Oryzias latipes: one gene and its partner. Each later gene encodes a partner of the first gene's protein in a complex. Links are inferred from orthologs where the notes say so. Each region holds a gene or a part of one and is shown on either strand. Other genes may lie near its edges.

Evidence for each region. The genes of interacting proteins can lie anywhere in the genome.
Region 2: the proteins of eif4e2 (region 1) and eif4ebp1 are in contact, whole or in part, in a crystal structure (PDB 5NVN), measured with the Homo sapiens proteins. The link is inferred for Oryzias latipes from reciprocal best matches to the Homo sapiens genes EIF4E2 and EIF4EBP1. Residues at the interface, in NP_004837.1 of Homo sapiens: Glu53, His54, Pro55, Leu56, Gln57, Tyr58, Tyr64, Arg66, Lys83, Gln84, Ile85, Gly86, Val91, Glu92, Gln93, Trp95, Arg96, Phe97, Ser99, His100, Met101, Val102, Leu107, Phe113, Glu149, Asn150, Leu153, Gly157, Glu158, Gln159; in NP_004086.1 of Homo sapiens: Arg51, Ile52, Ile53, Tyr54, Asp55, Arg56, Phe58, Leu59, Met60, Cys62, Arg63, Ser65, Val67, Thr68, Lys69, Thr70, Pro71, Pro72, Asp74, Leu75, Pro76, Ile78, Pro79, Gly80, Val81, Thr82, Ser83.

Annotation. Positions count from the first base shown.
Region 1 is NC_019875.2:23,171,605-23,178,931, reverse strand, and holds eif4e2 (eukaryotic translation initiation factor 4E type 2), read right to left. Parts: upstream 4,760-7,327; 5' UTR 4,731-4,759; coding exon of another isoform or gene 4,711-4,730; 5' UTR 4,637-4,710; coding exon 4,614-4,636; intron 4,457-4,613; exon of another isoform or gene 4,341-4,456; intron 3,980-4,340; coding exon 3,868-3,979; intron 3,782-3,867; coding exon 3,647-3,781; intron 3,540-3,646; coding exon 3,435-3,539; intron 3,346-3,434; coding exon 3,193-3,345; intron 2,841-3,192; coding exon 2,704-2,840; coding exon of another isoform or gene 2,700-2,703; intron 1,779-2,699; coding exon 1,730-1,778; 3' UTR 1,702-1,729; intron 1,605-1,701; 3' UTR 635-1,604; downstream 1-634. Other genes in the region: capn10 (calpain-10), read right to left, coding at 5,886-5,915, 6,155-6,200, 6,712-6,902, 6,978-7,233, 7,325-7,327. UniProt on the Homo sapiens protein: Recognizes and binds the 7-methylguanosine-containing mRNA cap during an early step in the initiation. Acts as a repressor of translation initiation.
Region 2 is NC_019867.2:12,546,143-12,553,573, forward strand, and holds eif4ebp1 (eukaryotic translation initiation factor 4E-binding protein 1), read left to right. Parts: upstream 1-3,084; 5' UTR 3,085-3,392; coding exon 3,393-3,528; intron 3,529-4,930; coding exon 4,931-5,119; intron 5,120-5,542; coding exon 5,543-5,574; 3' UTR 5,575-6,090; downstream 6,091-7,431. UniProt on the Homo sapiens protein: Repressor of translation initiation that regulates EIF4E activity by preventing its assembly into the eIF4F complex: hypophosphorylated form competes with EIF4G1/EIF4G3 and strongly binds to EIF4E, leading to repress translation.

The sequences.
Region 1 (7,327 bases):
CTTTATCCACCTTTGTCATGGTAGGAATAACATGTCTATGCAAGGGTGGGGTCAATATAAGATAGCACAAGGGTTAAAGTCTTCAGTATTACTCAGCCGAGGAGTTGAACCTTCCAGTCTCTGGGCAGATACTCTACCACAAGGCCACTCATTTGCATCTGACGAACTTTAATTCCAATTGTTTGTGAAATTTCAGGCACGGGCTGGTCATAGATCTTTGATGACTCGTGCACCATGAAAGCTTTCTCCAGTGTTTCATTTAACCCTTGTGCTATCTTAGATGACCCCACCCTTACATTGACGTGTTCTCCCTACCATGACAAAGGTGGAAAGATTTCATGTAATCCATGGACACCAGTGAAGATCACAAATCATTGAAGACAAAAGGTTCAGCGCACTGTCTAGTGGGTCTAGATGACCCAACTCCCAATGTTAAAGTGCCTAGGATAGCACAAGGGTTACGAGAAAGAGAACTTTTGAATTGAAGCAGCTGCCATTGGTTTTTGTTCAGAATCACATGGTCTTCGAGATGAGCCGAGCAGTGCAGATGCTCCTCCACTGGTGATGCTTCAGTGAAACACTGCAGCTCCAACAGGCAGGCACTATTTTCTGTTCAAAGAACAAACCAGTCAAGTTTTAGCAGCAGCTGCATGTTCTCCATTTATTGCTGTTCTCCATCACAAGTACACCCAACTGTGTTCACTTTACTTTAGACAAACATCTGCTTCCTTTAATCCAACCCCAAATCTGGACTAGCTGTTTCTGCAAAATATAATTGCTTATATTCCAAACAAACGCTGTCCAGAACAAGATGCTGGACGTGGTTTAGTTTCTTCCACCGAAAAAAGAGTTGAGGTCTTCTTCAGGACGCCTTGACGTGTTTGCAGATGCACCCTAACCTGCAGAATGGACATCCGGTGCGTGTTGGCCCTGAGGCCAGGCACAGTGATTAAGGCAGCTTGGCAGTTCATTCTGAAGATGGGGCTCTTTCAACCTTCTCAGCTAAATGGGATGGTCTTCTGTCGTAGGACTCAACTTCCATGTCACCACGGAGAGTCGCTGACGAGTCAACTGAGTGATCGTGGAGTGGACTTCATCGACAAATACATTTTACACAATAATAGCATCTGCTCTGTTTGAAACTGAAGAGGTAATTATTAAAATACATCACTGTAATAAAATATCATCTTCCATTAACCCTGTTTGAGCCCCAATAAAACTGACCAACTTTTAACAGTGGATGTGAGGCTGTGCTGAACAATAAAATCATGTAAAGTTTTATATCGGACTGATTTTGTGGTGTTTTGTCAACAGCAAATGACCAAATTCTGTAACGCAGCCTCCTTCTGATAACAAGTCAACAGATGTTCCAACTTTGCTATAAAATGAGGCTGTTTCTTCCCCCCTCTCTGGTTGATTTCAAGTATGTCTTTGGCTTGGTGCTGACAGTTCGCTCTGCTCTCTTCCAATTTGACCCAACAGGGGGATTGATCCTTGGGGCCTCTGCTCCTGACACGTCTTCCTGTTACACAGTGCCGGTCCACACAGAGGTTTTCCTTCCCCGGATCCAGGTGCCCCTCCACACGTCACAGAAACACACAAACCTATTGCGAGAAAAACAGAAACATGAGGAAGAGGTGGAAAAAACAAACAAATAGGAGAAACAGCCATTAGGTAGGACCAAACGGCGCCAGCTCTTACTCTTGGCAGAGTGTTCCTGTGCGAGAGGCTAACGCCCGCCACTAGCATTCACCAGCCCATGGAAGTCTTCCCAGGCTCTGCAGACACAGGAACATACAGAGCATCATCATTCAGTATTAAATAGTTTCCATCAATATTAACCAGGCTGCAAAAGTTTGACATAAACCTTCAGAATTGCGACATGTGACAAAGCATCTGTCGTTCTGCAACGACTTTTTCCTGGAGAGATTCATTCCTTTAATCGCCCTTAGGCCTGCACCACGTTACCGCAGTATCAAGCTGTGCAATAATCATATCGCAAAAGACGGCAAAAATAGCGAAAAATGGTTACCTTAAATGTGCTAAAACAATCTTATGGCAGCTTGAAGTATTTAACCAATCAAATAGATCATTTTATGCATTTGACCAATCGGATTGAACCCTTCACGTTGTTGACCAACCGGATGGACCCCTTTCATGTTAGAGGCTCACCTCCTAAGTAGACGAGGGTCATTTGGAGTTTAATTTCAGGTATGTTGACTCTTATTTAAATTAAACTTTTGCAATGAAAAGGATATTGTGTTATTGGTTGTTTTGCTATTTGTTCATGTATCGCTAGTTACATTATAATCAGAATATTGATCACTAATATTGCGAGTTTTCCTTAAATAGTGCAGCCCTAATTCCCCTTGATGCCTATTGAGAGAACGATGCATCAAACCACTTTGGCTCCAAAATTACCTAAATTTAGCATCTATTTGAAGGCAAAAAATTAGGATTTTTTTTAAAAGCTGGAAATACATTCAGTGTAGAGGGGTTAAGGGAGGAGGATGGTTCTATGACAGCAAGACATCACACCACGATTTAAAGAAATTTATTCTAAGCATTAAAACTATAACTGATGTGCACAATTTCACTCTCAACAGGTTCCTGGTGAAAAAGGTTTATCAAATCACAAAATATGACTTTTTTTTTTAAAGCAAAAGATGGAGAGAAAATAGTAAACTGAGGAGACATACATACTTAATGCTGTCTGTGTGTGTCTTGTACTCCATGATTGTGTTGGGGGGCAGGTTGAGGACTCGGCGCAGGGTGTCTCTAATGCGGGCGGTGGTACCCTGGTCACTGGCGGTTTTATTCCAAATGGAAATGATGTCCTCCTGAAAGAAAGAAATAAAAATGGCACATCTGAGGCCTGGATAGTTAACCCTTTGGCACTGGAGCTGTTACTAACGTAAAGGGTTCCAAAATGGCGGAAAGCTGCTTTTCTCCGTCACAGAATCAGCTGATTTACGTTAATTGCGTTACAGTAGTCAAAAGAATGTAAACACTGCAGGTAAGGCATTTTCACTAAAAGCATTTAAAACTCAATTACAGTAATTATTGTCTTTGTGGAACAAAAACAACAACAACACAAAAAGAAGATAACTACGCCCTGTAAACACTTATTTACTGTCACTGTTGTACAAATGCTGTTGTAGAGCATTAGGCCTCGCTGGTGTGAGTTTTTACCTGAAAACGGACGGACACCACAGCTCCACATATTTCCTCTCCCACCATGAACTGCTCCCCCAGCATGGCCAGGATCAGGTTCTCCCAGCACCGGGACGCAAGGCCTTTTCTTAAGCGAATAATCCACTTCCCGCCCATTTTATTGGCATCATCCTAATCAGAGTTTCAAAGCAAAAACATCACTAAAGTATCCAAACACATTCCTTAAAAAGGTCATTAAAACGTGTAGCAAGTGTACACACCTCCCACATGGGCTTAATTCCTTCTTTAAACAGGTGGAAGTCACTGTGACCGGTTAGGTCGCCAGGCCGGATCATGTGACTATAGAAACGCCAGAACTGTTCCACCTGAAAAAGATCAGAGCGTTCATGGTTGTGATAGTTTGCTGCAGCACAGCCAGTGAGCAATGGCATCATTTGGCTCAGATGTGAAGAGCGTCACAGAGATGACAAACCGAGGCAAAGCTGCCGATCTGTTTAATGTTCTGTTCGTAGCTCTGGGTGCTTGCTGGTCGCCCTGGCGTGCGCCTGGAGTACCAGAAAGTGTAGTTGTACTGAAGAGGATGCTCTCCTGCTCCTGGAACCACCATCTGCAAAAGAAACGAGGAAGCTCTAGTAGGTGCCTTCAGGAATTCAGGCCGCTCTATCATGCAAACACTGAAATCTCCTAACTCACTTTTTTCTTAGTTGTGTTCTGCTCCTTTTCGTCGTCCTCAATCTTTATCGTTTCGCTATCTTTCGGTGAGCTTTGGTCCTGGTCGTGATCTCCACTGTCATCGTCTTTCAGACTGGAAACGAAAAGTTAGTTAAATTCAAAAACGATCCATCCAATGATCTTCACTTCCCTAATTCGCTGGAAAATCTAAAAAGGTGCAATGTGTTTAAATGACTAACAATGATGATATAAACCAAACTCGAGTCCATCATGAAAAATAAAAGCTGCTTAAAGGATAAAAACAGGAAAAACAAAAAGTCCATTCGTTTAAGCATGCAGTCATTACCGGGTTGCTGTTGGCTAAACTAGCCGATTAACTGGAATGTTCTTCACTTTGTATTTAATGTTGGATATTTTAACAGAAAAACGGCATCAATTTATGCACACAAATACACCAGCGTAAATATGCTAACACTACATTTGCTTTAAATCACCGTTTGATCCGTCTTCCCGTTCACAGTTTACACCGTGACTGCACACACCCTCTCCGGGCCTCTGCCCTACCACTACACCGGGGATTCGAGGCCTACCCGTCTTCCGTTTTGCTAAGCTATTGCTAGCAGCCTGGCTACACTACTCAACATAAACGCCCATAAATGTAATGCTGCTGTTCCATATGCAGTTAAAGTACACACCGGTATGACTTTCGCTGATATGCGGGTTAATAACAGATCTATCACTGCATCGTGCTGATAAAATGGACACACCTTTCGTTGAATGCGTAACGCATGATTCTTGATTCCCCGTTTCCAGACAGTGAACCGTTTTCGATCGAAGTTCTAACGCAAAAGAGCTGCTACTCACGCATCGAATTTGTTGTTCATTCTGTCCTGGCTGAGACTCGTCAGGAATCCGATCACAGCCTCCTGGAAATCGCAGGAACGGCGACGCGCAATAGAAGCACGTGGGCGCGCATGCGGTATGTTGGTCGCGGTGATGAGCTGAAGGGGTCAAGGGTGACAGTGGCACCTCTCTTCAAACATTCACAGGGTCTCTATTCAAATGTATGTGATAGAATTAACCCAAGCCCCATGAGGGTAAAATGATCCAACTTGTGTTTTAACATTTATTTATTGCACCGTACCTAATAACATGCATCATAAATACAAAACGGACAACAAAAAAACAAACATAACATAGTACCATTTTGATCAGTTGATCACTTTCAGCCCCAGTGACTGAGCAGAAACTCAGACATGGCTACCATAAGGCACACATCACTGCACATGCTCAGCCTCAATAGAGAGAACTGGCGGCTTCATCAGATGATCTGCCTCTCTCTGATGTGCCGCACTCCCCTTTTCATCCCTTCGCTTGTCACTCGTTCTCTCGGCATCTTCAAACGCTGGCTCTGTTCAGCTCCAAGCGGAGCTGTGGACCTAGTCTGGGAAACAGGATAGGAGCTGGAGACTATGTGTCTTTGGGTCAGCTTGACATTGGTGTTGGTTTCTGCTATGGGACTATAACAGAAGTCTGAGTTTTAAAAGCACACGAGGCGAAGGATGCACAGAAAGCTTATGGATAGTATGGCATGCTATGGCGTGGTGTGGCTCGGTTGGCTCTCCTGTTCCAGACCATCCCCTCACCCCTTGCCCTCTGGGTTTCTGTGAGGACCTTCATGAGAGGACTCTTTGTTTTGTGCCGGCAGGCGCTGCACTGAGTGAATGAGAAAGAGCAGAGGCGGCCTTCTTCAGTAGTGGCTGTTTGTTTACACCAGCCGGTCCCGTCATACTTCATTAGCAGCCCATCCCACCAACAAACTTTTCAGAATCGCTGACAAGTGCCTTGTTGCGCAGAAATGCAGAGTGTCAGCAGTGTTTCCGACTCCCTTCTCAGTCACTCATAATACATATATGCACCAACACTGACGTCATGGCTTTTGTGGCGAGGCTGGGTGACGGGACTGGGTTGTTTCATCGCTGGCCAAGAGGCACAGGGAGGCGATCTGATCTCACTGGAGCTGCATCCCATTGGCACAGCTAGCTTTGCATCACAGAGATGCGAGAGACCTGCCATTCAAACAGAAACGAAAGAAAGGGATTATTCAGTGCTGCCATCTTCTGACGGCTATAAAAATCCAAAACACAAGCAGCTTGTGTAAAATAACCGTTACATGATGTATAAATACATATATGCTTTCTTCTAAGTTGTAGATCGGTTTTAAAAATTGTGTAAAACTACCAATAATTAATAGCAGCAATAAAGATGCAGAAATTAACTTTAAATAAAAACAAATCAAAAGACCAACCTCCTGAATGGATCTCTGGAGTTTTTCTTGACTTTTCACCACCTTCCTAAAAAGAGTCAAATCAGTTTTGGAAGTTACACAATAATCCAGCTAAAATAAATGAGTGATCCCTCTATATTGAGCCTCACCCTTCATGGTCTCGCTGTTTTACAGATTTTTTTAATGCAGTTGTTTACGCTTTTTCCTTTTTACATTGCATTGTGTTCTGCGACCTGATTGGCTGTAGACCTTGTCTATCAATCTTCCCCATGCCATGTCTCCAGTACAGACTGCCTTCAGATGCAAGATTCACATAAATCTTCGACCTCTAGCAGATCTTTGTTTACATTCTATAATACTGGACTTATTTTCCGACAAAGGTTTGAATTTTAAGTGTATTCTTACCCAAGTCAACTGTGTGTAAATGTTAATAAGGTGTGTAGTAAGGAGTTTTAAAGCCATAAAACATTTATAATTGTTGTAAAACATAAAGATGAGGGACCACTTTAGTCCTAATACAGTCTATTCAATTATACTATACGATATAATTCGAAGAACTTTGAAAATTGAAGGCCAACCTGTGTACTCTGTGAGCCAAACTGAGGGTGAAGTCTGCCGAACAATCGGGTTCATAGGTGGATGGCACTAAGGTGTAATAACCAGGAGGGAGGGAACAGTCCAGACTGATGGCCTGTGTGTAACAGTGAGGGAGGCAACTGGCCACAGGATCCTCTTCCTTCAACATCTGCTCACATCCCCCTTCTGGTACCTGTGTACAGACAAACATAACTCAAATTCTTCCTTTCTGATCCACCCTGACGCACTCTTTTAATGCTAAACTGACCTTATAAACGTGGAAGCCGATAGGGAGCAGGTCGGTGTCAGGCCGGCTCTGGTGCAGTGTAATCCTTACATTGACCCCTGGTTTTACCGTCGGCTCAGCACGCACCGTAAAAGGGAAGCACGGGTTCTGCCTGTGAGAGAGGAAGTTTCTGCTTCCTCCGGCCGTACTTCCAGTCACCCACGAGCCCTGGAAGTAAGTGGTCTCCCACTCACTGTCTGTCAATAAAGGCAGTGATCGAGCTGGGGTCTTCAGGGCACTAAAGAGGAGGAGAGATCTGTTAGGTCCTGTGTGTTAGAAAAGTATCATCCATAAAAAAAAAACTTTCACTGATGATGAGAGATTCTTACGTG
Region 2 (7,431 bases), on another chromosome or scaffold:
ACACCACTTATGCAGCCTCTCTGCGCCAGAAGATGTCACTTGATGAGGTAGCTGAAACACTGGTAATGATGTAGCACTGGTTTGACCAGGCACAATGTGAAATTGGATATAAGGGAGCTTTTTGTCGAGGGAGAAGCTTGTGTCTGGCTAAAATGGTTGTCTCTTCGGATTGTAGCAAAGACGGTCACCGATCACTGTGATGAGAAACTGTATTACTGACCCCTAACTGTGAGCCTGACCTGTCTCTCATGTCCCTTTTTACTTTGCCGTCTTCATCATTGCCTTCTGTCTTGACTGTGTTTCAGAAGTAGCAATAACATCTTACATAAGGAAAGTAATGCTTGTGTCTTGAGTGGGTGTGTATGGCAAACAAGGGCAGATAGGAGTTTACGGTCGTTCAGTGCTGGAGTTTGGAGCTCCTCATTCTATACAGTAATGATGTCAGTGCATTAGCATTAGCATAAAATGTACGCTGGTCAAACATGAGCTCAACCCATCTCATCTGCAGCAATCACACCTTTTTTTTTCAATTTTTGAAAATTAGTTTTAAATGTTCATGCACCTTAAAAGATATTCTGTTGTGGTGAGTCTGAGAGTGACTATAATTTCTAAAACCACATATTTATTTCTTGATGGAGGGGACAATCTCCATGTGATAATGTCAGATATCAACACTTCAAAGGACTATTTGTGGAAATCTAAATCACTTATTTATTATAAGTTTAATTACTATACCATCGTATTGACAATTATCGACACAAATTTATTTAAACATAATATATATTTGAGTCACAGAAATGTTGCAATAAACCTACACTAATGGGTGTTCCGTCTGACTCTAAAGCCAGAGATGATGAATGTAGTCTTGGTGAATTGTTATGAAGTGGTCATCTGTTTTAGCTCTGTATTTTAGTCGAGTATATTAAATTATAATTTTTATCATCATTTTAGGCACAAAGGGGTATGTTTTTAAGAAAAAAATGCTCCAAAATTTTTTTGAATATACATGGACGCTCTACCAGCTTTATTTTAGTCTTTTTTTTTTTTTATAACCACAGAGGTATGATATTTCAAGTTAAATCACATAGGATGATTTTCTCTTTACAGCAGAATTTCCTTTTCAGCTTTATTTTTTTTTCAAATAAGGTATGAAATGAATGCTAATCCAAAATAAATATATAGATATGCCTAAATATTTTAGTAAAGAACTGAGCTATTTATTTGATACAACTTCACAAGAATTCTTTTTTATGGGACTTTTTTCAATCTTTATTTATGTTTGCTTTTTCTTTTTCCATTTCAGCAATGCAGGAAGCTGACAGTAAAGCTGCTTGATCTAGTAAATGGTAATAAACACTACTGTTGTAAAAGGACAGAAAACAATAATATTGGGGGGAAAAAAGAGATGTAATGGAAAAATTAGCGCATCATCTATATCCATTTTGTGAGGTTAATTTTATCGCCACTTTAACTCGCTCTCAATCATTTCTGTTCATAAAGGTTTTTATTTAATATAGACTAAAATGTCATGCTTATGTTCCAGTCTATAAGCTTGTGTTTTGGGTGATTTCTAAAGCAGTGGAACCTATAAACCCACTCTTGATGTCAGGGTTAAAGCTAAAGGTAGGTTTTGTGGCTACACAAAGGCAAGCGCGACAAGCGTCTTCCTCAAAGCAGCCTTCCCGCAATTTTCGTCTGCCCTCATACCAAATGTGAGACTGAGACTTCCAAAATGGCGACTGTTTGAATGTGCAAAGAAAGGAATCCAATGAACGCAAGCAAAGGGAGTCGTGGTCGTGAAAGAGGAAAAACTCGACAGTCCTGCACTTGAGGGCTAAGGCGATACCATGCACCAAATTCATGCAAAAATATAAACTTGCAAAAACTAGAGAATACGTGTATATTCCTTTAGAATGGTTTGGAGACATTATTGCAGTAATATTACTCTATACTAAGGAATGCAACTGCACACATGCACAGAAGATGTTTTTAAAAATGAAAAGAGTATATATATATATATATATATATATATATATATATATATATATATATATATATATATATATATATATATATATATATATATAAAATGAAATATATAAACATATATATTTATTTAGAATGCTATGCACCCTTACTTGTCAAATGGGATTCTAGTTATGTTATGGATGTACTTTTAGCATCATACAGCTGTAGCTACCAAGAGACTGTTGAGTTCTGGGTAATGCCTGCAACACTGGGACAAATAGGGGTATTGTGGGTATTTTAACTAGTTTTGCTTCCTTTTTTTATTTTCATGGAGAGTCAAAGATGGATTTAAAATGTACTTGTAAAATCCTTTTAATCCAATCAAAATACAAGGACATCTATTGACAATTTACTCTGTACACCAGCTCAACATTTACAAAATTAATAAAGAAATGAAATGTCTTTGTGTATGGTGAGTTTGCTTTTGTTTAAGGTACTCCATGACACATCAATTAAGCAATGATCTTAACATGTATGCAATGAGCTTTGTATGTTTCCACAACTGAAAATCACAAACAATTCTATCTTATCAGACTAAATAACTAACCAATTTAAACATTTTTTCCCAAAAATAATCTGCAAAACACATTCAGGTGCATAAGATTTTTAGAGGTGCACAAAACAAAATCTTCTAGGTTTCAAACTATTGGAAATGCCAAGGTATCTCCTTTTTTGTTAAGTGCAAGCACTAAAATATCATGTTTAAACTAAACTACTAACAGATTTTACGCTGCTAATCAGCCTAAATATTTATTCTAGTCTATATTTATTCTGGATTGCTGAACTCTGTATGTTGTAGGGCCATGAGGGAGAAGCACCCAGCTTGATTCACAACTTGTTTATAGAAACCAAGATGAACCTCGTACAAGTTCACAAAAATGACTAGAGTCCTAACTAATCCACACTAAATGTGCGCAATTTGCTGTAAAAGTGAATATGTTTTTTTTGTTTTTATAGATCCCTTTGGATTGAAACTACAAAATCAATTCTACATTTGATTATTTTTTTAACGCTGGTGCAGTAGCGCCAGTCACCAGTAGAGGGCGTAGACGTTTTCTGGATAGCATTTTTCCCTGCAGTCATCTGTCTGTCTACCTTGCCTGTCTGTTGTTTTGTATGCATGTGGAAGTGGAGGAGCGTGTGTCCTGAGGTTCTTTTAACAAAGATTATCGACACCTCCTGTTTGTGAGAGCGCGTGTGGTGATAATTTGCACTTATGAAAAAGAGGTATTTATTTTTATTTATCAAAGGCAGCCGTTCTTTTGAGCCAAATAACTATCTGGCTTTGCCCTGGGACGCCCAGAATTTCTTTTCGTGGCATATTATTTAGTTAGATAGTTTTAGTACAAGAGTCCTAAGAAAAGATGTCCACCGAATGCCAGAAAACAACTGCTAAGGCCATTCCGTCCACAAAGAGAGTAACCATCAACAACGCTGATCACATGCCCCACGACTACTCCACTACCCCCGGAGGGACCCTGTTCAGCACCACACCGGGTGGTATGTATAGAAATTTCAAGTCTTTTTCCAACACAAAACACGCATGTGCGAAGATTTACTCAGATTCACGCCACATGGGACCCACATCCTTTTAGATCATCGCTACTGTACAGCCAGCTGATAGCTTGCAGTTAAGCTAGCTGCTAATGCTAGCTAGCGGGTGTTTATTTTAAGCTAGTTTAAAGTAACTCAGTCGTATGCATTTTAAAAATTTGACATATTGTTACATATCTTTATTCTGCTCAAATTGTCTGCTTGTGTTTGAAGTGTTTATCTTGGGTTTCTTGCTTTCTTTTAGCTCTGGCTGTACTTGTTGCTAAAGCTGGACAGAATAGCATGTGGGCGGAGCTTAAGATGTGAAGGGATTTACGGGTCAGGGGTGGGCCTCGGCCTTAGAGGGGCAGGATTTATAAAAACACGAGCTGGAAGGGGTGGGCTTAAACATCAGACTCCGCCCTTCCAAACCTTGTACTGTTACACGTAAATGTAATAATATTTTCCACAGTTCATTGAAGGTGTAACTTTTATACAAAACCAACATGATATTCCACCAGCAACAAGCCTCTCAAAACTATTTATCTGTCATTCTTTACATATATTTATTTTTTATAATCCCACTGGCTGTTTATTATTGTCTCTGTATTGTACACTGTGTACTACATTGGTACACAGATGACCTGATCCCAATGGCGATATGATGTACACATTACATCTGAACCATTAGAGTCGGATCCTGAAATACTTAAATTAAATGTGTCCAAACCAAGATTCCAGATTTTAATGTTGATCTTAAAAGTCATATTTTAACACTTCAAAGCATTTATGTATGTACTTAAAATAATTGCTTTATTTGTTCAAAACGACGGAAGTAAATGGGTCATGTTGTGTTTTCTTTCTCGTTTGGTAAAACTACAGGGTTCACACTGTGTGGCAGCACATTGCATGCTATTTCTAAAGAACAGGGGAGCATGTGCATCAGGTTAATAATTGCTGGAAATAAGCGGTAGCTCCGTTTTTGTGTTGCTTGAGAAAGGTGTCCACCTGAGTGGGGTGGTTGAAGTAAATGGAAGTAAAATTATTTGAAATGTTATTTTTAATCATTTGCATTGATATACACACTAGTTTAATGATTTTTACTGCCTTTTTATGTGGAATTCCTTAGAGATGTGAGCCAAAAAAAAGCATTTTTCTGATAAATCAGTCTTGATCGTCTAACCTGAATACACCTGAAATTATGTTAGCTTTTTTAAACTGCTGGGTGCACTTTTGATCTAGCTTAATGATTATCAGTTGTCTTTTGTGTTCTATGTTTCACTTAACTTATTCATTCCAAAGCCATTTTTCTGGAAAAGCGGACAATTGAAAAAATGTTCTGACGCACAAAGCGTTTCTGCACAAACAGGTACTCGGATCATCTACGACCGGAAGTTCTTGCTGGAGTGTCGGAGCTCTCCTTTGGCAAAGACTCCTCCACGAGGCCTTCCCAGCATTCCAGGGGTGACCAGTCCTCCAACCAAAGAGTTCAACAAGAAGACCCTTAATGGAGAAGTAGTGAACATAGACACGCCTGCGGCTGACAGTAGCAGTGCAGGTATGTTCACAAATCATAGTCTGACCAAAGTATTTAAAAGAGTCAAATTTGGCATTTTGCTCCAGCATAGTGTTGTGTATAACATTTAATGAATCCATCCACAATAGGTAGAACATGGAGTTATTTTAGGCCAAATGCATGTAGTGGTGCAATTTCCAGTGTAATAAAGTTTCTTGTCTGCTTGTAAAAGAAAAAAAAACTTAGTCTTGCAATATAGCATACATAATTAGATGTATTCTAGTTGGGGTTTTTCTACTAAATGTAGAATTTGGTAGCTAAATGCTTAAAGAAGAATAAGCAAGTTGATGCACCTTAATCTTGAAGCAAGATTGTTTATTTTGACTGAAAACATTGTCTGTCAACGTCCTTGTTGCCTCCTGAATTTTAGAAAGTTAAAGTATAATTTTTGTGTGCTTTTTCTAGGTGACGATGCGCAGTTTGAAATGGATATATAGGTGGATCCAATGCTGTGAATGGAGTATCTGGAACGTCTCCTCTTATCCCATCATCATTTCTTTGGAGGAAAAGTGATCTCTTTTAGAATCTGGGTTAAAAATGTCTGTCTTTGATACTCATATTAATGCCTGAAGATCACAAGCCTTTTTTTTTATTCTATTCAAGGTCTAAAACCTATTTGCTGATGATAAAGTGTGCCTTCATGTAGTGGCATCAAACGGAACACAGACACCAACAATGCCTCATCAGTCAGCAGCAAGAAAGTTTAGACATAAAGAGCTCATTTTCATCAGATCAGGAGTGTTCCAGAAGTTGTTTTTTTCACTTAATGCCACCTGTCTTCAAATACTGCCTTTACATGTTCAAACTGTGGAATTTGTAAGTCATGTTCCAACGTGGAAATCCTCCACCTGAAGTGTTGCACAAGAATTGAAAGTTGAATTTTTGATTACATTTTGAAGTTTCACATGGTTTGTAAGGGGGTTAAAAAAATAAACCAAACACCATGAAATGAAGAGGCTTTTTGTCTTAATGGTTTCAATTTTGATCCTAATTTATTTGAATAATTTCTGCATTTTCTGCAAACTTCTATTGGACAGTTTTGTTAAAGTGATAAAAACACCTGAAACCTGATAAACGAAGAGTTAAGATGTATGTCAGAGAGAGAAATCTTTGGCTGCTGCTGGTTCTGGTTAAGGTAACGCTCGTGTCCGAGTCTTTTCAGAGGAACGCCTGGAGGAGCTCACTGACAGCTGATAACCTCAGGGGACTCCACAAAGAAGGGTCAATATACAACAGTACATTTCTGAGAGAAACTCCCCAACTCCACCCAACATAAAAGCCTGAAGTCTTGATGATGCATCCATAAGCCTTTTTATTAAAAACCATTAAGAGAAGATGAACAAACAGCCTTCATCCGAGCTGAGCGGTGTGTTGAGGTGGTTTCTCTCTAAGCTGCGAACGTTCAGCTGTGATTTTAGTGGAGATAATGAGTAAAAACAAGACTAGAAGCTTGGATTCATAACATAAAATGAGTCACAAGTTTGAATTTGTGAACTGTAGTTTTGCTGAAGAAAGATGTTTAAAAACCTGAGTGAAATAGATTTTTATTTTTCAATGTTACAGTTAAAATGAACTAAGTGCTTCCTCGTCCGTGCAACACTCACACCTTAGGCTTAATCCATAAAAAAACTGCAAATAATATATATAAAAATGCATCATCCAGTAACTAAAATAGACATTTAAAATTCATTTGTTTCTAAATAAAAGTGCATTTGTTGTTTAAAAAAATGCATAGCCGTTCAATGTGTTAACATTTTCAAAACCAGGAAAAATAAATACAAAAAAACACACAGAATTGCACAATTGAAGCCGTCTCATATGAGGTCCAAGTTTGATGTTTTAACCTGAACCTCTTCTATTAGACGGCTTAAATAGTGAAATCATTAAAAAGTGACGACGACCAGGATCAAGGTCCCACTGTCACAGATAGGTTGCACACTTTCTGAGTAGCAGCTTCTGCGTCCCTCCATTCCTCCACATTGTCGTGTTTGTTTGCGTCACCTCTGCTTCCTGACACTCCACACCCCCTTTTCCCAAGATAAACAAGAACTACTGCTTTTTTCTTTCTCTGTGGTTTTTGTTGTCCCACTCGGCAGGGCTGTCGATCCCAATAAACAAAAGAAACCAGGCCAGGGAGGACCAGTTAATGACCGCTGATGTATTTACTGCAGTGCACTCAAGATGTGGATTGGTGAGGTGAGAAAGGTAAATACAGAGAGTTTTTATTAGGTCAGGCTAGTGGGGGTCCAGATCCTGCAAACAGAGTGAGCCTCTGATGAAGCTATTTGTTCATC